Solanum lycopersicum: one gene and its partners. The protein of the gene in region 3 binds, or shares a complex with, the protein of the main gene of each other region. Links are inferred from orthologs where the notes say so. Each region holds a gene or a part of one and is shown on either strand. Other genes may lie near its edges.

What was found.
Region 1: photosynthetic NDH subunit of lumenal location 5, chloroplastic (region 3) and photosynthetic NDH subunit of lumenal location 1, chloroplastic share a complex: the UniProt entries of both Arabidopsis thaliana proteins name them as parts of the chloroplast NDH complex. The link is inferred for Solanum lycopersicum from reciprocal best matches to the Arabidopsis thaliana genes Pnsl5 and PnsL1.
Region 2: photosynthetic NDH subunit of lumenal location 5, chloroplastic (region 3) and NAD(P)H-quinone oxidoreductase subunit S, chloroplastic share a complex: the UniProt entries of both Arabidopsis thaliana proteins name them as parts of the chloroplast NDH complex. The link is inferred for Solanum lycopersicum from reciprocal best matches to the Arabidopsis thaliana genes Pnsl5 and NdhS.
Region 4: photosynthetic NDH subunit of lumenal location 5, chloroplastic (region 3) and photosynthetic NDH subunit of lumenal location 2, chloroplastic share a complex: the UniProt entries of both Arabidopsis thaliana proteins name them as parts of the chloroplast NDH complex. The link is inferred for Solanum lycopersicum from reciprocal best matches to the Arabidopsis thaliana genes Pnsl5 and PnsL2.
Region 5: photosynthetic NDH subunit of lumenal location 5, chloroplastic (region 3) and NAD(P)H-quinone oxidoreductase subunit N, chloroplastic share a complex: the UniProt entries of both Arabidopsis thaliana proteins name them as parts of the chloroplast NDH complex. The link is inferred for Solanum lycopersicum from reciprocal best matches to the Arabidopsis thaliana genes Pnsl5 and NdhN.
Region 6: photosynthetic NDH subunit of lumenal location 5, chloroplastic (region 3) and photosynthetic NDH subunit of lumenal location 3, chloroplastic share a complex: the UniProt entries of both Arabidopsis thaliana proteins name them as parts of the chloroplast NDH complex. The link is inferred for Solanum lycopersicum from reciprocal best matches to the Arabidopsis thaliana genes Pnsl5 and PnsL3.

Annotation. Positions count from the first base shown.
Region 1 is NC_090809.1:53,937,044-53,940,230, reverse strand, and holds photosynthetic NDH subunit of lumenal location 1, chloroplastic, read right to left. Parts: upstream 2,056-3,187; 5' UTR 1,909-2,055; coding exon 1,782-1,908; intron 1,704-1,781; exon of another isoform or gene 1,690-1,703; coding exon 1,603-1,689; intron 1,535-1,602; coding exon 1,461-1,534; intron 1,381-1,460; coding exon 1,258-1,380; intron 1,139-1,257; coding exon 1,067-1,138; intron 981-1,066; coding exon 884-980; intron 811-883; coding exon 707-810; 3' UTR 501-706; downstream 1-500. UniProt on the Arabidopsis thaliana protein: NDH shuttles electrons from NAD(P)H:plastoquinone, via FMN and iron-sulfur (Fe-S) centers, to quinones in the photosynthetic chain and possibly in a chloroplast respiratory chain.
Region 2 is NC_090807.1:67,427,465-67,430,309, reverse strand, and holds NAD(P)H-quinone oxidoreductase subunit S, chloroplastic, read left to right. Parts: upstream 1-1,468; coding exon 1,469-2,221; 3' UTR 2,222-2,345; downstream 2,346-2,845. UniProt on the Arabidopsis thaliana protein: NDH shuttles electrons from NAD(P)H:plastoquinone, via FMN and iron-sulfur (Fe-S) centers, to quinones in the photosynthetic chain and possibly in a chloroplast respiratory chain.
Region 3 is NC_090800.1:5,016,534-5,020,619, forward strand, and holds the start of photosynthetic NDH subunit of lumenal location 5, chloroplastic, read left to right. Parts: upstream 1-1,286; 5' UTR 1,287-1,561; coding exon 1,562-1,585; intron 1,586-1,736; coding exon 1,737-1,925; intron 1,926-2,605; coding exon 2,606-2,756; intron 2,757-2,961; coding exon 2,962-3,050; intron 3,051-3,804; coding exon 3,805-3,859; intron 3,860-3,990; coding exon 3,991-4,076; intron 4,077-4,086. UniProt on the Arabidopsis thaliana protein: NDH shuttles electrons from NAD(P)H:plastoquinone, via FMN and iron-sulfur (Fe-S) centers, to quinones in the photosynthetic chain and possibly in a chloroplast respiratory chain.
Region 4 is NC_090804.1:2,507,900-2,511,679, reverse strand, and holds photosynthetic NDH subunit of lumenal location 2, chloroplastic, read right to left. Parts: upstream 2,506-3,780; 5' UTR 2,465-2,505; coding exon 1,982-2,464; intron 1,892-1,981; coding exon 1,793-1,891; 3' UTR 1,773-1,792; exon of another isoform or gene 1,678-1,772; intron 1,578-1,677; exon of another isoform or gene 1,439-1,577; coding exon of another isoform or gene 1,223-1,438; intron 1,130-1,222; coding exon of another isoform or gene 1,006-1,129; intron 915-1,005; coding exon of another isoform or gene 697-914; 3' UTR 501-696; downstream 1-500. Other genes in the region: casparian strip membrane protein 2, read left to right, coding at 697-914, 1,006-1,129, 1,223-1,438. UniProt on the Arabidopsis thaliana protein: NDH shuttles electrons from NAD(P)H:plastoquinone, via FMN and iron-sulfur (Fe-S) centers, to quinones in the photosynthetic chain and possibly in a chloroplast respiratory chain.
Region 5 is NC_090808.1:66,282,323-66,286,477, reverse strand, and holds the start of NAD(P)H-quinone oxidoreductase subunit N, chloroplastic, read right to left. Parts: upstream 2,801-4,155; 5' UTR 2,531-2,800; coding exon 2,392-2,530; intron 901-2,391; coding exon 536-900; intron 444-535; coding exon 327-443; intron 233-326; coding exon 147-232; intron 1-146. UniProt on the Arabidopsis thaliana protein: NDH shuttles electrons from NAD(P)H:plastoquinone, via FMN and iron-sulfur (Fe-S) centers, to quinones in the photosynthetic chain and possibly in a chloroplast respiratory chain.
Region 6 is NC_090809.1:1,367,796-1,371,738, reverse strand, and holds photosynthetic NDH subunit of lumenal location 3, chloroplastic, read right to left. Parts: upstream 2,795-3,943; 5' UTR 2,713-2,794; coding exon 2,448-2,712; intron 1,852-2,447; coding exon 1,565-1,851; intron 756-1,564; coding exon 657-755; 3' UTR 501-656; downstream 1-500. UniProt on the Arabidopsis thaliana protein: NDH shuttles electrons from NAD(P)H:plastoquinone, via FMN and iron-sulfur (Fe-S) centers, to quinones in the photosynthetic chain and possibly in a chloroplast respiratory chain.

The DNA of each region.
Region 1 (3,187 bases), on a different chromosome or scaffold from region 3:
TTTCATCATATTTTATAGGCATAATACATATATTGGACCCTAAACTTGACTTCAAATTTTGACTTTGACCTCCAACTTTAATAGTGCACAAATAGACACTTAAACTATCATACCATTAAATAAATAAACACACGATTTTTGGAGACAAAGAGAGTGAAATGCAAATGCTCCCACGTATATTAGTGAGCCACTCAATGACTGCCAACTAATTAAATATTTTATGCGTCCATTTTAGAATTTAAAAAAAATTTAAATGAATTTTGATTTGGAAATATAAAAAAATATATAAAAGGGATTCATTAATGGTGGAGTTGTTATTTCAGCATTTTTTTACCATTGTGGACCTCAAAAATTACTACTCCTAACTCGCACAAAATACATGCACATTACATGTTTGCCAGGTACGACTCGCGTGTTTATTTATTAAAGGGTTAGATAATTGAAGTGTTTGTTTGTTTACTATGAACGTTGGAGGTCAAAGTTAAAATTTGAAACCAAGATTAGATATGTATCATGCCGTACTTTATTTGTGCTTTATTTTCCATCACTTTAAAATTTGTCGTTAACACTTCACCGCTTCAACTACAAGGGGATTTCAGTTACTTATGGGATAGCCAGAAACATTCTTTGTACTGTAATTCAATAAACAAATTGCAAATCCTGTTTCATGGAACAAGACTCTATCATTGCAGCTCTTAGAACAATTCTAAATGTCCAACACCTGAAATGAATCAGCCACCACTTTAAGTTTGTTGCGGAATTTTCTCCATCGCCTTTCATTCGCTCCCACGATTAATGTGTAGTATCTCCCTGTACGAAATGTCTTAATACGAATGCAGAAAAATGTAATGTACAGTTAAAGGAAACAAACCAGATCACTTACCATTTGCAATTGCTATAGTAGCAAATGCTGCCCGCGAAAAATTTGGAGATGTCAATACATATTCAAAGGTGAAATAGTTTTTCCCATCCGTAGTTCTCTACATAATTTTGAACAAAAATATGGTGACTAATTGAAAAAGAGCTACGTATATTGTACAATCAAGAGAATAAGAAAGGATCATACCTCCTTCATTTCCATTATATTTGCCACCTGATTCGGTGCAGAGTAAACATGTTTTACCAGATCGGGCACAACCTTTAGGAAAGTAGAAATAAGTTGGTATGACGAAGAAAATACATGTCTTTTTTATATTTTTCTCCTCCTTGATAGCTTAATAAAAAACGGCTACATAGATGAATAGTACCGCGATTTACCTCTTGCATTGGCCCCAAATCATGGATATCTGTTTTATCAGTTGGTATAAAACTAAGTCTTACATTTTGCAGTTGTAGATACCTATCTTTAAATGCAGAATCATGACCTCTGAAATCGAATTCCTGTACATACATCCAAAGTCAAAATGAGAGTTTACTAATTTCTAAAAATTCATTTCTTAAAAAAAAAAGAAGCAACATACCCTCCAATCTGATGGATAGTAATACGAATAACCATCTCGTTTGTCAACAAAGATTTCATAGTTCTCCGGTACTCCTGCATACACGTCATTTAATTATAAAAAGTAAAAAGTTTAGAGAATAAAAATTATAGTAACAGAGTACCTTGAGCTAGAAGGGGAGTCGCGGGTAATAATAAACCCAACGAAAGAGCCCCTGCTCCTAATAGATATGACCTTCTCATCAAGCATCCTGAAACAGAGATACTAGTAGAATTTTACCACGGAGAAAATGGCGTAAATGCAAACATGACTTCATAATTGATCGATATGAAATTTTCTTACTCTGTTGATTAGGGGACGTGTTTTCTGATGCCGAACATGTAATAATGTTGTGTAAGCCATGCCTATTCAAATTGTTGGCTGCTGGTGATGGAAGCCCAAGATTCAATGAGAGTGAAGTAGCTGCCATTTTTGTGGACAAAAATCACTAGATTTTTGCTTAACATGTTTATTTTTTCTCCTAATACAATCACTTTTTTTTCCATCATTTTTTCTTGCTCAATAGGATAAGATGCAAATTAAATGTGAGGATGACCTTTCCTGCCAAGGTCCAAATGGGCTTTTATGTCTCTTTCAACTACAACTAAATGAGCTGTGCTTCATATGTGGGGCTAAAATTTGACTATATCCACATTGATAATTTTTACTAATTGTTCTTGCAAATTTTTCACAAGTTTACCATGTCATAAATATCTGTATGTAACAACAGCACAAACTTGAATCCTTGATGGATGAGGCGGATCTAATGTATTGATACCGAGTTTATCTGAACTCAGTACTTTTAATGCGAAATATAAATTTATGTGTAAAAATTCATCAAAATTGCAATAGATAGTAAATGTAAACTTATAACTTAAAAATTAATGGGTTGATCAATGCTAAAAACCTTAACAATTGACTTCGAAGAATTTAAGATAATGATACTTTAACAACTCGACCATATGAAATGTGATATCAAATGCACCCATGTTGATGTGGAAAAACCAAGCACAGGTTCTTTCAATCACTGTATAGCACAAGCTATTTGAAAGGAAATCCAACTGGCGATGCATCAATGATCAATTTACATCCTAGCGTGGAGGTATTCATCAACTGTGTAAATGCAACGCCAAATATAATTGAAGAATGATCAAAGGGTACCAGGGGTGGAGTACGCCATGTTAATGTACCTTGGATGATCCAAATCTCAGTGTATGCGTCTAAAGTTTCAATCCTGAAATACAATATACAGGAAAGGAAAAATAGCAAGCAAACAATAATATTTGTATTTGAATTAATACTAAGGTTACAATCTTTATAAAATATCTCAAAAAGATATTTAATCCCCTGATTCTTCTCTTCACAGATGTTATTGATTTGGCGGAATACTTGCGGCTCAACCCTTGGAGCGAAGACTTCTTTATATGCTGAAAAGCAATTATGTATTCCTGTGTATATGTATTTTTTTTTGTCCTTTTGGTCAGAAGAATACCTCTTTATATAGGCTTGAGTTAGGGCTTTAGGGTATTTTGGTCTGAGCAATTTTGATCCCTGGGCCTGAAGAACATGAGTTGGGCTCATCTTGTCAACTTAATGGAATGATCCAAATGATTTGGACTTGATTTAAGTCATACAATTTTGGCTTAGATATTAATTAGACTTTATCAACCAGTAATTTGACTTGGTCAACATATGGTGATTTAAGATTT
Region 2 (2,845 bases), on a different chromosome or scaffold from region 3:
ATATTAATTATTGAATTTATTATCAAATATTTAATGAATCCTATAGAGACAAAAAAGAATTCTTTTCGTCCCCATTCTGGCTATTGATAGGAATAATTTACGCTCCAATTTATGCAAATTCAATGTGTACACTATATACACCTTTTATCAATACTTATTATCTCTAAATTGTGTTTAATAATGTATTAAAGAAAAATGGTATGAAATAGCAAAATATGTTATTCAAATTAAATAATATAGCTATGATTTATTTTGTTTGTAATTTGTCACAAACATTCCATTCTTTTGTAATCTGATTCGCTATACAATTAGTCATTTCCGATATATAATTAGACATTTTATATATTTCGATATAGAATGTATAAAATGTGTTTGTGTTTGTATGAAACGAGAGAAAAGATTATATACAAATACATACATACATACATACATACATACACACACATATATATATATATATATTCGTTCTATATACTTATGATTATATAAATCTAGATCTTATTATACAAATTACAATTTATAAATGAATTTATACAAAACTGAACAATCTGAATAAAATTGGATGTATCTAGCGAATTATACAAATCAAAAACTCCATAGCAAACATAAAATTTATTATGGAACGCAATTATGCAAACTATATTTACAACATACAAATATGATTTTTATGTTTGCAATTTGTGAAAAATTACGTCTTTAAAAAAACAACTTTAGAGGCTATTTAGATGAACTTAAAAAGTAACTTTTAAATCAAAAATAAAATGTCAAACTTAAATGATTTATAAGTTAAAAAATAAAAGGCAGAGGAAGACCTACTTTTGATTTTAAACTTATTTTAAGTCATTTTAAAGTTATTTTTAACTTTGTCAAACACTTTCTGACTTATTTTAAGCCATTTTTTACTTACTCTAAGTTATTTTTTATATTTATCGAACACTTCCAAAAATAAAAATAACTGACTTTTAAATCAATTCAAACGCCCTCTTATTTAATCAACTATATCTTCTACAAGACCCCTTTCACATGTGTGGTCCTGACTTTTAGAAATTCCTTTTGATAACAAATAGCAACATAGCGCGAATCTAATACCTCTATATACTCTGATCATCAAGTTAAATCATATGATCATTTTTTAAAAAAATCTTAAATTATTAAAGAAAAACATAATATATCTCGTGTAATTTCATAAATGAATATAAAAATTATAATTTACTTTTAACGCAATTCCTCACGTGTGGTCCTGATTCTTTTTGAAAGGATGGTGTAAAACATGAGTGCAAGTTTAATCTTTTTCCAAGGAAGATAACATCATTCATGTGTTTCATTTGTCAATAGAAGATATCAAAACAAAAACAGATTGGTGGTCAGAATTTGAAAGGACAAATTACAGTTTCCCATTTCTACTTCTCATCTCATCCTCTACCATCATCTTTCCCAAATCCAAAGTTCTTGAAAAAAAATCAAAACCATGGCTTCTGCTTCTTCCTTTCAACTCTCAAGCCTTCAAATTCAAACCCCACCTCTTAAAAAATCAAACTTTCTTGGTCAATCTGTCAATCTCAACCTCAGTAGTAGTGTTCATACCAAATCAGCTATGAAATCATCTTCAAACTCAGTTACACCAATAGCAAAATTCAATCTTTATGAGATTCTTGGAGGTAGAGGTCTGTGTAATGGAGAAGAGGGTATAGAGAAAGAGCTAAAAAAGTCGATTTCCGAAGAACAAAAGGCAGTAGGATCAGCAGCAGCAGCAGCTAGTGATGATGATAATCAAGAAAACAAGGAGACTGGGGAGATACCGGAGGACGGATTTGAGAAAGAAATGATGGGGTTTACTGGCGGATTTCCGGGAGGTGAGAAGGGTCTAATGAAATTTATAGAGAAAAATCCACCACCACCACCACCCAAGAAAACAGAATCAAGTATGGTTTCTGGTTTTAATCAAAGTCTTGTGAAGAAACCAAAGCCACCTGAATTGCCACTTTTGTTACCTGGGATGATTGCTATTGTCAAGAATTCTAATAATCCATATTATATGTATTGTGGGATTGTGCAGAGGATTACTGATGGTAAGGCTGCTGTGCTTTTTGAAGGTGGGAACTGGGATAGGTTGATATCTTTCAGGCTCGAAGAACTCGAACGTAGAGAGAAAGGACCGCCAATGGTGAATCTTAAGTCTGTGATACTTGAGAAGATGGTAGAAAAGAGCTCTGAAGCTTGAATTGCTTCAGTTTTTGAGTAGATTGTTTGTTCTTTTGTCTTTTGGGTTGTTGTACATACAAGCTGTAAGTTTTGTAATGGCAATGGCATGTAATAAGAAATGCAGAAAAACTTTTGTGCAGGAAGAGTTCTGTCCCAAATGAGAAGTTCAACTCTTAGCAGTGATGTTCGAAAGAACTCTTAACAAAAACAACGTAAAAAATAAGAATCAGGTAATTCAAACCACTTGCAAAACATATAGTCAAATATTTAATATGATTGCACAAGATCTAGTTTTGTTTAAGTAATGAATCCTAGCATGTTCTTCTGATCAATTCATAGATCATTAGATACCATCAGTAATGAGGATCTGAAATATCACACGTTTTATCGAGCAAAGAGAGAGTCTAGCAGAACAACAACATACAGTATTTAACAGTGAGTGATAAAACAATTCTTACTTTTCACAAGCATGAGGTACCTCTGACACCACATATGGTGGATCTTAGACTCCATCCAATTGGACAACAGGTCGATATCGATGTAGATAAGTTCAATAATGATAGCTAGCCTGAGAGAGAGTATACAATGGTGCAAACTGCAAGATTTTGACAGATTCTCAAACAGATGGACCAAAATTTTATAA
Region 3 (4,086 bases):
TTCTCCTCCGTCATGGATTCCGGCTTCACCCCGGTCAACGGTTCGTGAAAATCTTTCTGGTACAGATAATCTTCGATCTGCATCTTCCAGAAACTGAAATCGGATCCATCAAACTTCTTGATTCCAAGCTTCGAACTATCCATCTTCTGTGATCGTGTTGAATCTCCTTAGCTCTGATACCAGTTGTTAGGATCGATTCACGCACACACACTAGATGATTGAAGAACACAAGAACTTTCAAGAGAAAGAGATGAGAAATCTAGAGAGAGAGAGAGAAAACTCAATATTTCGTGGTAAAACCCCGTGAGTAAACTTCTACGACGGTGAGGTATATTTATATTAATAAATCAGAGTATTTTTGGTTACAAAGAATAAATAGGAAAACCTAAAATTAATCAGGCTCCACTACCTAACACTTATTTACATAAGCTTGTACTCTTACCACAATCATAGTCTACTTGATACATTGTACTCTTTATAACATTATATATATATAGAAGGCTTCAACGTGGAGCTCATCATGGGAGAATATTATTATACACAGGTAATAGATGATTTCAAACTAAAATGTTCAATTTTATAAAAAATAAAAAGTAATATTGAAAAACAAAGGTAAAATGTCTTATTTTTGTTCGACTTCAATAACTAAAATATTAATATTATTTTGTCACACTTCAAATACATGTTCATTTTTTGGAGTTTTAGAAACTAAACCTAATGAATCCTTTTTTAGAAAACACGATTTTTGAACAAATAAAACAAAACTCACATCAAAATTGGGAGTACTCAAACATCAACTTCATTGAAAAATATATTGAGAAGACCTAGAATTTCATTCCTTTCTCGTCAGATTAAAAGAGGAGAAAACAAGAGGAGAAAAAGAAAATAAAAAAAATAAGTCAAGTTTAGAGTTTTCGAACTTTTAATGGCAAAGAAAAAACACAAAATTGAAAGTTTTTTTCATTTTATTTGTTTGGAAGATGAAGAGTCACATTCTAGATCTACAAATATAGAGAGAGTATTTGAATGTTTATTTAAAAAGAAGTGGAGTATATTTGATTGAGAGTGAAACGTAAAGTGGTCAATTTATATTTTTATTCATGTAGTACTAATTATTCAAGTATAACTTATTTCATCTCGAACTCGCATAAAATAATTCATGGATTGACTCATAACTTATACATGTATTACTTCAATAGTTTTCTAATTTTCTAATGAAACATAGAATTATGTGTGTTAAAACATTATATCTTGACATAAAAGAGCTATCAAATATAGTATAACTTATGTAACGTAACTCAATCCTTATCCAGTAACCAAACGATCTCGCACTTTAAACCATGGTAAAAATTAGGCTATTTCCTAATATTATACTCTAGTAACAACTTTTTTACCATTTGTAATGGATATGTTTACCTAATCGGTCTATACAAGAGGGTTGAGGCTCGTCATCTCCGTCACACACCATCTTTGTCCCTCATTTTCACCAACCACACACACTCTCTCTCTCTATCTCTATTGCAGTTCAACTCGCCGTACCGGAGAACTGAAATCGGCAACTATGGCAGCTACATTTGCTTCAGTGGTGAGTTTCTTTAACCTCTCAATAATTTGCAGTTGAGCTTTGTTGTTCAGTGTTGCCTTCTAATTTGTAGTAATAACACTAATTTTTGGAAATAGAGCGTTGTTGTTGTTGTTGTTGTTGTTTTAGTTGACTAACGTTTCTCCGTTTACAGTCGAATTTAGGCTCAATTTCAGTTCCACGAGTTGCGAACCCTACATATGCTGCTTATCCGAAGTTGCTGAAATCTTCATTCTCATCGTCAAGCTTATTTGGTGGTTCGTTGCGTCTGGACACTTCTTCAAACCGTTCGGTTCACAAAAAAACCGGCGGTTCATCTGGTTCTATTCAAGCCGCGGTGGAGGTCTGTGCTCGCTCGCTGAGCTAATTTATTAGTGATTGCTCTACTGTTTGTGTGTTTCTTCTTTGATTTCGCCGAAAATTTGATGATTGAGTCAATATGTCTAGCGTTGAGCTAGTAAATATGCGTTCTAGGGTTTCTGTGAGGAATAACTTTTCTGTTTAAGTTCTAGAGCTAAATGTAAGGGATAAGTAGATGAATACATTGGTTGCAGATGGCATGTGTGGCTGAGTGTTACTTCGTTGTCTCATTTTATGTGAGAATATGTTAAATTAGGTTTGTATATAGTATTGGTGATGCTAGAAGAAACTATGAACAACTTTTGGAAAAAAAGTTTATATCGAAGGTTGTGAAAAGAGAAATTTTAGTTCTTCATAATATTTGTGAGTGGAACAAGGACTTTTAATACTTACAACTTGTGAAATTGGTATAAAAATATAGAGATGTCAAATATGACCCAAAATGAGAAGACTGTCATATAATGCAGTGTTTTCTTTTGTTAAGTAGCAAAGTTAATTGTGGAAGCGGATTTTTAAGTCTTGGAGCATTGATTAGAATGGCTGTGGTTCAGTTTTCAGCAAACATGGTGTTATGTTGCCTTTTGTATGGGACTAATGTTCCATAATTTGTTCATTACTTGGTTGAAGTTTTTAATAGATCTGAATGTATTTATTGAAATCCAGGTGGCGGATTTGCAATCCAAAGTGACAAACAAAGTTTATTTTGATATTAGCATTGGGAATCCTGTTGGAAAACTTGCTGGGCGAATTGTAATTGGATTATATGGTGATGATGTGCCACAGACAGCTGAAAATTTCCGTGCACTCTGCACAGGTTCTTTAATAGATTTTATGTTATTAATATTATTGTCGTCGATATTCTTATGACTAGTGCTGCTATCACTACTACCTTTATTGCAGTTTTTGTTCTCATTATCATTATTGCTATAATATTCTGCCTTGTTGCTTGAGCTTCATGCATATAATTCTTTCTATCATTTATGTTTAGCTTATAGTTTGGATTGATTTCTTCCGATCAGGTGAGAAGGGCTTTGGCTTCAAGGATTCTGCATTTCACCGTGTTATTAAAGATTTCATGATTCAAGGGGGTGATTTCGACAAGGGAAATGTAGGTGTCTCAACACCTGGTTTGCTTTCTCTTTCTTTCTTTTTTTTTTCTATTTGTTCCTCTAATTGGCATTCTTCTTGACACACACATCCTTCACCCAGTTCATTGTATTTTCTGTAGTACACTTGGTGTGTTTTGGGTGCTTATCTTTTAGCCTTTTATTTTGCTTGTTTCACCTTGAGCAAGATTTTAAATTAACAGAAATGCAAAATTCTGAATTAGTTCTTTGCCTAGTGTTTTCTTGTTCCTGTTTGGTGGTTTATCCTTCATCTTTTGGATCCTCCATGGCTCCAATTTCTACCATGGAAAACCAGAGAAGAAAAGGTTGTTTTTCAGTTTGTTTCGGTTCTGTGTTTGTGAGACTTCCCTGATGCTTGTAGCAACGTAAGATCTCTGTATTCTAAATTATCAATTTTCATGGTATAAACTTTTTTTCAAAAATAAGTAATGAACTTGCATGATGTAACTTTGCTTGTTCTATGTTTCTGAATGGGATGTCTTCTTTGATTAGTAGTTGAATGTGTGAAAGAGTACATGAGCTAAGATGCTCAGTGGAATATGTACTACTGCCATATTCAATAATTCTGTTTAAGTGGAATGTGTTATTGCACACAACTTGACTGCTCCAATATTTAATATGCATAGATTGATTGAAGAGTGTTCTAGTGTTTGCAGTTCATAATTTGGAAAATTTTCACTTGCCATTCTGGCATATTGTAATCTTCCCCCCATGGATTTAATTTTTTATTCGCAGGGAACCGGTGGTAAAAGCATATATGGTCGTACCTTCAAGGATGAAAACTTCAAGTGTAAGTTGGATTTTCTTCTTAAAAATTGGTTTCAAACTTCTCCTTGTGGTTAAGGCAATGGACCCCTTTGGTTCAGATTGTCAATTGTGTTCAATGTTCTTTTGTGATGAAAAATCCTTGTGTAATTGCAGTGGTTCATACCGGACCTGGGATTGTTAGCATGGCTAATGCAGGGCCTAATACCAACGGAAGCCAATTCTTCATTTGCACTGTAAAGGTATGTGGAA
Region 4 (3,780 bases), on a different chromosome or scaffold from region 3:
CATAAACTTGTTCTTTATTTTATTTCTCATTGTTAATCAAAAAGTCAACCTATTCATTATTTTACTTTCTAGTATTCTAATTTCTCATGTTTGATTCTTATGTTCAAGTAGAACTTTGTGCCTAATCCAAAAAACCATTTAGGACCATAACCATTGTTATTAGTATATTATCAATTGACCTAATATAATAAATCAATGATCATAAAGTGTGTTTGCAAAACATTAAAAAAGAAAAAAAAGATAGGACAAAGAATGTTGAAGTTTTTATCGGGAACAACCTCTCAATTCCATAAAGTTAAAAGTGACGTATGCATACATACTACCCTTCTCAAATGGATTGCAACGTGTCGTGTGCTGTTTTAATATCGCGATTTCTCGTATATAATGATACATTTTCTCGAGAAAAAATACATTTTCAAAATACATGTTAGGAAGAAAGTAGAGCAGGTAAAAAGTGTAGCAAGTTAATGCAAGACTTAACTACTTTATGGAATATCATGAACCAGAAAGTTGTACATTTCATTGATTAAATAAGCAAAAGCAACAACTAATTATGTGTCATCAAAACCTAATACTATTTGTAACTCTGTTACATGATTTGGTTCACTTGTTAGTATAAATTCGCATCACACTTGACATACAAATCATAACAACAAAATTTCATTCTAGTTTCAAAGTTTGAGCTAAAAGGAAAAAATGAAGGCAGTATCAATTGAAACTGGAGAGGGATCAAAGGCCAAAAGAGTTCATGGAGTGAACAGAGGAATCTCTGTATTTGATCTTGTTTTACGTATCGTTGCACTTGTTGGAACCTTAGCAAGTGCTGTGGCAATGGGTACTGCAGATCAAGCACTTCCATTCAGTACACAGATTGTAAATTTTGAAGCTCAGTATGATGATATCGACTCGTTCAAGTAAGCAAAACTGCAAACATATTATTACATGAAATAGAACAGTATAAAGGTTAACTAACACATTTTTTTGTTTTGCTTATTCTGATTGAAGGTTCTTCGTGGTTTCGAATTCTATAGTTTGTGTATATCTTGCACTTTCTATCACTATTTCAATCTTTCACATTATCAGAAGTAGAGCAGGAAAGAGCAGAGTTTTGCTCATTGTTCTAGACGCGGTAATACATTAGATTTCTGCTAAAGTTTTCATATTTAGTACTTTGTTATGATGTTGTACTGATATCTTTTATACTTTGCGAAAACTTTTGAAGATAATGCTGGTTTTCCTCACATCTGGAGCATCAGCAGCAGCCGCGATTGTGTATTTGGCACACAATGGCAACACTTCAACTAACTGGTTTTCGATATGCCAACAGTATACAGATTTCTGTCAACGTTCTGCTGGATCCCTTATCGGTTCTTTTGGTGCAATGGCCTTGATGGTTATACTTATAATTTTGTCATCTATCGCTTTATCAAGGCGCTGAAGATGTTGGCTACACTAGCAATTGCTAGCCTTTGTGTGTGTATTGTGTTTGTAAATGTTAGTTTCATCAGTTGCATTTCATTGTATCAAGATTTTCATCAGTTGTATCACATAATGAAAAGATTTCCTCCTTACTTCAATGTTTTCATCTTCAAATATCACGTTTATTCAACTAATAGTTATTCTCTCATAAACTCGTATGTAATCTTGATTCCAATTTCATCAACTCGCAGACCAAGCTTATAAATGAACATAAAATTGTATATAATTTCAACGTTTTTCGATCAGTTTATTTGTTAAACCAACGCGATTTTTCTGCTACAACATTCACTCACCTTTGAGCCTGATGATATTATTATGCAAGTAATCCCACCAATTCATCAATTGATTTCAACGTCTTCTCATAGAATACACGAGATTCATATACCTTTGGTGTTCGAATGTAGTAATCAAACTGCAGACGAAGAAAATACATAGAAATATCCATAACACTGAATAGAACCTCGAAAAATTCTGAACAGGGAAAATAAGGACAGTTAGTTACCTCAGCCATGTTATCAGTAAGCTCATTGACAGTTTTAATATAAGACTCTTTTCGACTTTCAGGCACCCTGGATAAGGCATTCTTCACGTCCTGTTTAAGATAAGCTGATTTAAGTCGTATATAAAACAATACATACCTCCATGAGTTAGTCTCCAACATCTCTTTAATACTATGTAGTCCATCTGCTGTTTGACGAATTCGTGCTACTGCATCTTCAGGGGACAATCCAGGCTCAAAGAAATGTTCTCTTAAGAATGATCGAACGCCCCAATTTTCAGCTAATGCTAAAGGGGTGAATTGTAGGCCTAGTGTCAATGGAGTGACTAGAAAAGTCGCGATGAGTTTGCGTCTACATGAGAAGTTTTGTTCATTAGTTGATAAGTTAGATTGGATTTTGGGTAGTGTCTTGCATTGTGTGTGATGAGTTTTGGTTATTTTGGTTTTTGGATGGAACAAAGTTGTAGGATTTGTGAAAGTGGTCATTTTTGTGTTGAAAAAAAAAATCTAAGGAGTGTTTGATGGTTTTTGTGTGTGTTTTGGATGGATATTAATTGATTTCCCTAAATCCAAAATGGACCTTAGGTTTTGGTGACTTGGCAAATATTTTATCCTCTTTTTTTCCCAATAAATTTTGGTGTTGTTGGGTCAATGGTGTAAGAGGCTTTGTTCTAGTTGGCCCAATTTTGGAATTTGTTTAACTTAGGGTTGGCCTTGTTCAATTTGAAACTAGTTTTACTTGGTTCGCATTTTTTCGGAATCAATCAAGACTGAACACTAGTAGCCCTATTTCATTGACGGGTTGGGATCAATCTTCTATCAATCGAACAAATTTCTTATGTTTTTCCCTTGAGGCATTCAATTCTCGTATCAAAACAAATTTGAGTTCAACATTGAGATTAGACACTAAAAACCATTTAAATTATGCTGAATTTTTCAACTATACACTCCTGAAATAAGTTATCACCGTCATAGAGCAGAGTAATGGTATCAGGATTAGTTATCCCAAAATAAAATAATGAAACTGACAGAAACACCCTTGAAGTCTATGATGTTATTTTTCTACACTACAACAAAAATAATTTTTGGCGGCATTAAATATTGACATTGATAAAGAGTGCGAAAGTCTTTACCGGCATTAGTTAAGTATCATTAGAACCAATGTTGCTAAATATTTTATGGACATATACAAAGAGTGTCAATTGCCGCTAAAAATACATATTTAACGACAATTAATGATTATTTTTGTTATAATGACTGGAGAGTATTTTTGTGAACAAATTATATCTTCTTTAAAATTATGAAATACATGTTATTTAGTTTTTGATATAACAAATCAAATCATCAATAAATTATCTTCATAAATAAAGAGATATAAAGCAATTTAGGCAAAAATAATACATTATTGATTGTGCATGAATAATTGCTTTACAGCTAAAATATCTAATGTCTCTAGCTCCCACATAGTTGGACTAATAATAATTGCTTTACAAATTAAAGCAACACCTTTAATTTACAAAAAATAATAGATGAGAAATGAATGGATTGGGATGATAAAATTATATAAACGAATTATAACTTAACTGAAAAAAAGAAATAATTAGAATTCTTTTGTAATCCCTATTAGTATAAGGGTCGTTAATAGTTTGTTTGATTAAATATTTTAAATACAAAAAATACTTGATCAAACTTTAAGCGAAAAAATAAGTACTTATAAATTAGTAATAATGCTACTCGTTGAATTATGACATGCGTAAAAATACATCTTGAAAATATTAGTGAAATATAAATTACTAATAAAA
Region 5 (4,155 bases), on a different chromosome or scaffold from region 3:
GACCACAGAAGGCTAAACTGAAGTAAATCCAGGTAGCTTTTGCATACAATGTTGTTTTAACCACAACGACAAGATCTCAAAGTTTCCTTATTTACAAGAGAGTTGATTGATAAACAAGAAAAAGGAAGATGAAAGGAAAATCTTACCAGTTACCACACTCTGCAATGACCCTCACATTAGGACGAAGTGTCGGGAGTAAAGCAAGAAACTGCAGCTCTGCCTTTGATAAGACCTGAACATTTTAGGTCAAACAGTTAACAAAGATCTAGTCAAAATACTGCTGATGGACTAATTAGATGATGTACACTTGAAGGGGTGGATTTAACCTTGGCTTCTATTATCCAAACCACTAATCCTTTAGCATCCGGAGGAAGTAAAGAAAGCCTATAATCAACTTCTGGAGGAAAATACCATCTAGCTATTGGTTGCTTACCAACATGAGCCTGCAACATCAAAATTTGCAGATGAGAGTCAATTAGACACTGCAAGTTAGTGTTTGAGAATAAGCATATCGTATGCGAACTGCTAAACTTACAGGGCAGACAGGGTGGAATTTGGTAAGAGTGGTTTCAGGGTCACCGAGGCCACGAGCCGAAAGGTCCAAGAAATGATATCCCTGGTACTTAAGACGTGTAAGGTAGCGTCCTTCATAGCCCCCTTCATGAGGAGAGTAAATTGCTATGGCTTTGTGTTCTTCCACATCTGATAACCATTGACCCAAATCAGGTTTAATGAGATCTCCACCTATGAAGTCCTGAAGTTCAATGTTACATCTAATTGCTCCTTTCTTTTGTCTTCCAACTGAATCAAGTCTTCTCGTTCTCACAGCCTTTGATATGCCATTTAATTGTACTCGTTGCTTCTGCAGACCATAAGACTGCACTGCCCCTTGATAACAGGCTGCATTTTGCCATTTTAATTCAGATTTCATGGTACATGACCGAAAGAACAAAGGCATCATAATGAAAAACATTGAACGTTAAGACATCACTCTCAAAATTTAATTAATGCGAACAGGATAACAGTATCATTTTGGTGCTGCAAGTGTGCATTTCCACATGTAAAAGGTAGAAAAAGTTATAAATAAGTCATTTTCCAAAGAGAACTGATAAGATTATGTTACAGGGAGAACTGAAAGGGTGCCTACTGTAAGCAACCTGTGAAACTCGAGAACCAGAAGTCAGTTTTTACCATTGTCAACAATGGCTAGAAACATTGCCAATGCACTGCTTAATGTGACAGTGCATAACAGTAAGCACAAACATTTTCAGCTTTATAGACCAATATTAGGGAAAGTCTGGATTTCATACCATGTAAAACAATAACAATCGGGAACAAATGTGAGTTGGAGCTGAATCTCTACTCACCCAAAAAACAAAACTTCAAAACATAATTAAGTAAATGTACACTTTCACTACCTACCCCACTAATATTTACATATAACAAGCTGGAATCACCCATTATGATATCAAGTCTTGATCTTTTTAGTTCTTTAACCATCACCCTAATTTTGTAACAACACATAATAGCAACTAAGCATACGTCTTCACACACACGCACACCGTGATATTGAACTATAAATCTGAAAATTGGGAACAAATGCGAGTAGAAGCTGAATCTCTACACACCCAAACCATAGCTTAAAAACAGAATTAAGTAAAGTGTACATATCACTCCCTACTCAACTAAATATTCACATTTAACAAGATTGAATAGTCCATTAAGTTAAGTCTTGATCTTTTCAGTTCTTTAACCATCCCCCTAATATCAAGATATTATAACAACACATAATAGCAACTAAACGTTATACATCTTCACACACACACACACACACACCATGATATTGAACCATAAAGCTGAAAATTGGGAACAAATGTGAGTTGAAGCTGAATTTGTACACAACTTCAAAACATTATTAAGTAAAATGCATACTTCCACTCCCTACATAACTTAATATTTACATTTAACAAGCTTGAATCAACCATTAAGTTATCAAGTCCGTAAAGATATTGTCATCCGGACCTAACTCAATCGCAAAACCATACACCCTCCTTCACGCTTAGGCCCCTTGAGAGCGAGAACCAAAAGCTCACACCGGGAATGAACCTGGTACTCATACCATGTAAAATTAAGTTTTAGGCCTATCTAAACTACCTCAAAGGTAGGAGGTGCTCAAGCCTTAACCACCAATATGAACCCCTTTTTTTTAAAAAAAAATAAAAATTAACACCCCACCTCACACAGATGCAATATTATTACAAAGTCTTGATCTTTTCACTTTTTTAGTGATCACCCTAATATCAAGATATTGTAACAACCCATAATATCAATTAAGCATTATAAATCTTCACACTGCGCACACACACAGAGAAAGGGGTTATTGGGGATGACCTGAAGAGGAACAGGGTTGGTCTTCAGTGGAAATATTGGGGCGCCGCCGGCAAGAAGACCCATTGCTAGTAATCAAGAACCTCCTAGTGCTGCTGCTGCTGCTGGTGGTGCTAGGGAAGGTGTAGGAGAGAGTTGTCATTTGGGTATTTTGGTGGCAGTGTGTGAGTGGTGGCAGTAGGCAGCTATAGCAACAGAGACTGTGGAAGGACCATTGCAAACTTGGACAAAGATGACTACTTTGTTCCTTGCCACTCAATAAATGTGCTGATAAACTTTACAATAAAGAAATTACAAATAACAAATATTTAAATATGCATAATAATATTAGCTATATAAATTTATGGGATAAGTTCTATATTTTAAAAATTGAAATGATGTTTTGGGGAGAATTTAAAATTTGAGATAACATAATCTCAAATTAGTTATTCAAATTTTAATTTTATATTGTATATTCAAACATAGCTAGAATAATAATCATAAGGTGAGAGTTCAAACTCTATTGTAACTTTTTTAATGAAATAATTTTGTGATTTAGAAAAGAACAAAAGCCAAACTTAAACCTAATTTATATATTTTGGATTGAAAATCCAAAATCCAAGTAAAGATTATGAAATTTCCAAACATCCTATTTAATTGCATAAGTTGTCCTTCAAATAAATTAATTTTTATTCTTTTATATTTTGAATTTTTAAAATAAAACAAAGTTAAGTATTCATTGTAAAATTCATAAGGAGTAAGAACGTTCACCACAGATAAAATATGAATTGTGATACGACCATTAACATCTAAAAAAGACAATGTTTCACAATAATTACTAGTAAAACTTTTGAAACACATAACAGAACTCCAAAAATAATTGGAGCACATATATCTCCTTCCTTTAACTAGAACACGTACTATGGTGCTTTGATTCCTGCATCATATTTTGAAAATAAATTTATACCTTATAAGACATAAGTTGTTTAAGATAACAAAATATAACCAACACTCAATATATAATGATTTTAAAATATAAATTACCAGTGAAAATATTATTTATATAGTATTAAAACATAAAAACTAAAACCAGCTCTGTTGTAAGAGGGAAAATAAAAAAGACAAACTTTAGGGCTTTTTATATAGTAATCTCCCTATCGAAACCTCAAAGATTTCCCATTTCTGCAAAACCCAAATGGAATCCAAAGAGGACGAAGCCTCCCAAAGCGGAGCAAACCCATGGAAATTCAGTCCATTTCAAGCAAAGATTTAGTTTTGTTAAGGCTTCCGGTGAAATCCCTTTTACAATTCAGGTCTGTGTCGAAATCTTGGCTTTCCTTAATCTCTATCCCTAAATTTGTGAAGACGCATCTCTTATTTTGTGCTAGTAACAAGGAGTTATGTTTAAGGTTGCTATTTATGTTGGCTAGTTATGTGTAGTGATTTACATCGCCATTCTGTAAAGGAGGTAATTGACTTGGATTATCCAGGTAAAATTTCCAAAGACTATCCTTGGCTGGTGGGTTCGGTAAACAGATTGATTTGTGTTGCCTATGTAACAAATTGCATGACTTGTTTATATGGAATCCGTCAATTAGAAAGTATAGCAAGTTGCCTAGTTATAGACTTAATCGATGTGGTGGATATCAAGTGGAGGAACCTGGGGATAGCAGATTTGGTTTTGCGTTGATGTGCTTCAAGATGATTACAACGTAGTGGGAGTTTGCCCTGTTTACAGAAATATGCGTCTATGTCGTGTTGAGGTCCAGATATATTGTCTAAGGAGTT
Region 6 (3,943 bases), on a different chromosome or scaffold from region 3:
TAGCTCAGATGGTAGAGCGCTCGCTTAGCATGCGAGAGGTACGGGGATCGATACCCCGCATCTCCATTTTAATTTTTTTCGATAATATTTCATTATATTTGAATTTTGTTAAAACGGTATATTTATCTTTGTTTGGTAATATTTCATCATATTTGAATTTTGCTAAAACGGTATAGTTATCTTTATTTGATAATATTTCATTATGTTTGAATTTTGCTAAAACATTATAATTATCTTTGTGTGATCTATAAGTCACATGTTCGAACCTGAAATAAGTCTTGGATTATGGCCCTTCCCCCGTTCCACGGGTCATGTATAAAAATTTTGCTACGATGGTACGGTATAGTTATCTTTGTTTGGTAATATTTCATTATGTTTGAATGCTGCTAAAAAGTTATAGTTATCTTTGTTTGACCTATTAGTTACATGTTCGAACCTGAAATAAGTCTTGGATTGTAATCCTTCCATCGTTCCATAGGTCATGTATGGACTCGAGATGCTTCATGCACCGAGTTGTCTCTATTATAAAAATGTGGAAATCAAATTGAATCTCCATCAAAGTGTTATTGACAATTCCAAAATTTACGAAGGAACATTTTGTCTTCTTGTAGTCAAAATGACTAATTAACAGAATATAATTAAAACATATGTTTTGTTTATGCCATTCTGTCCATGACTTGTTGGAGAATAGTAGTTGTTTCTTGATAACATGATTGTGTTTGAGGCAGGTTCTTTTTCTTCACAGCATCTTCAAGCTGCATAAAAAAAAATATTGGAGCAAACACATGATCAAAAACTTTGCTATTTATAATTACGTTGTTCAGACTTTTCAAAAATATTGACGGTCACCAATCATAATGTGTGTCGTATTCTACAAAATCTATACATTTTTGTAAGGATCCGACAATATTTTTGAAGTGTCAGAGGAACACAACACCAGACTTATATTGCTCGGACTTCAATAATATTGCCAGAGCATGTGCTAAGATTTTTGGAGGATCTGATACGAGCACAACAATATTTTTGGAGGGTCCGATCAATATTGTATCAGACATATGTTGCTCAGACTCTTCAATAATATTGTCACAGTTTTTGTGTGTAAGATTTTGGAGGATTCCACATGGGCACAACAGTATTTTTGGAGGATTCGACCAACATAGTTATCAAACCTATGTCGCTCGGATTCTTCAAAAGTGCTTCTATATATGTCCGTCAATCGAGGATCCTCCAAAAGCTATGCAATGGATCCGACATAACAGGTACAACAACATTTTTAGATGGTCCAATTAACATAACATCAAGCCTATATATGTGTATATATATTGCTCAGACTCTTCAAAAACACTATTGACATCACATTGTGTACCGCATCCTCAAGAAAACATGCATTTTTCAAGGATGTGACACTGATACGACAAAATTTTTGTAGGGTTTAACCAAACTAATATCAATCATATATTGCTCAGACTCTTCAAATCTATATATATTTTTTGAACACATTTGGGACAATATTTTTGAAGGATACGAGCAACATATAATATCAGACAAATAAAATCAAATGTACCTTCTCAACGTTATCAAATAATCGATTAGCAAGATCAGTGAGAGGTTGCTTATCATTCACTTGTGCAGCTGTGATAACTTCATCAAAATCATAATACATAAATGTAGATTTAATCCTCAAATATTTCCTCACATAATTCCAAGAATCTGTTCCAATCAAATCCCCTAATGCCAATAAATCAAATGCATATCTTTTCAACCTATGAATTCTCCCTTTTGTTCCAATATTAGCAATGTACATTCCTTTCTTAAGAAATGATCTTGTACCTGTCTCCTTGTTTATAATATCTACAATCAAATATTACAAAAACTTTTATCTAACATATTAAAATTATGGACGATCGACTCGATTCTTGATATCTTAAACTTAAATGCGCGAAAAAAGCTCAATTTTTTACCCTTTGACACCAAATGGGGTCCGACATCACTACAAGAAAACTGTAAATTACATAATACGGATAGGCGTATAGACTTTTTCTTCTTACGATCCTATCATTTCTGCTTCAGCGAAATATTCTGATTCGGCTAATTTCACACTTATCTATGAGCTATGATGGGGATTTTTCTGAGAATTAGTATGAAAATTTATAGGAAAATAAGTTTATGGTGAATTTTTATACTAATTCCAAGGAAAATCCCCATGTATTCACAGCTTTTTCGTAGTGTATAAAGGTAATTTTACATCGAATTCAAATTTTTTTACTCGAATAATTTGGACATGTGGGGTTCACCCATTTCATATTCGTGCTATACATGAACTTTGTTAATGTAGTCTGGTACATAAAACATTTCGCATTAGATGAATTGGGAATATCTATAAATGCAAGTGTTAGTGGCTGTTAAACGCGACGTGATAAAAAAAAATATAGAAAATAAAAACTTACTGGTGGATATTGAAGGGTCTTGTAGTGGACCAGTAATAAAAAATCCATTATTATCTTCAGCAAGTGAAATATCAATTCTTGAATTTGCAAATAAAGCAATTGAACCAATGCTTAATGCTAATCTTCTTGTAATTTTTGGTGGTGAATTTTCTTGAATTTCTTTATTTTTTTGGCTTATTGTTTTTGCTTTTTTCTGAATTTTTTCAATCTTGGGAATGAGGGGAAGAGCTTCAAATATAATGTTTAAATTTGTTGTGTTTGCCATAATTTTTTGGTGTTGAAACTATGAACAAAAATGATAGCCTATTTTTTGCACTTTCAAAAAAAGTTATAATATTATTATCCATTTGATGAAAATCTTGATGACTATTGGCCACTAGAAGGATATCTCAATTGAGGGTAAGATTGTAATTCTCCCCTCTTTTCTTTTCTTTTTTTCCTTTTTATGTTTTTCCCAAAATTATAAATTCCTATGATATTTTTATTTTTCGAATTTGTTACTTAAAATCTTAGCTCTGTCACTGACTTTCAACCTAATTATTTTGAAGAAAGAATCAAATACGAGTGAGCTGGATAATTTATCTATTTTACTTGACTCATTTTCAATCTCTTTGTATCTATAACTCGATTCTCCTATTTGTTACACTTGTATTTTTTTTATATGGTCAATGAACTAAGAACTTATTTAACTATACTTGTTTATGTCTTATATAAGCAAAGTGACATAAGTAAAGATTAATATATGAGTTTTGACTTATTTTTGTTATTTTGTCGTAGCATCAAGTGTTTAATATATGAGTTTTGACTTATTTTTGTTATTTTGTCGTAGCATCAAGTGTTTAAAAATACTTAATATTTTACATGAATGCTATGAAACTGTTTAAATACACCTAAAATAAGTCAATTAAAACATGTTCTAATAATTATTAGTATCTCATAAAGTCATATTTCTTCTTGATTCAATTTCCGTAACGGAATGTTCAAGGAAGAAATGACCGCACGTCGAGTAAATATGACCAAAGTCCATTTATTTGCTCTCTTTATTCTGTAGATACGCTCGTGGAAAGAAAAATCGGAATTGAAAATGTAGATTGATCAATTCCGCCCCGTTCGAGTAATCGTATTGCATATAATGAACTATAAGCCCAATGGGCTTCACTTACAGGCCCAAACTTCTTCTAAAACGGACCCATGCGAGCCCAAAATTTTCACGCATTTTGGGACCGAAGTTCAAATTACACACTCTCCGGCAAGTTCCTCCGGCGAAGTTCTTCTCCGACGAGCCAACTCCGGTCAAATCCTTTCCGGCGATAACACCGCTGTAAGTTCTAACTTATCTCACTTTCTATATATATTCCTTCTTCCATTGCTCTGTATTCATATACAGAAATGTTTAAATTCGATTTCAGATATAAAATTGACTAATTTAAAGAGTTAATGTTTCACAGTAGTAGTTTAAATTAGGTAGAAATCATGTTAAATTGAGTGAATTGTGT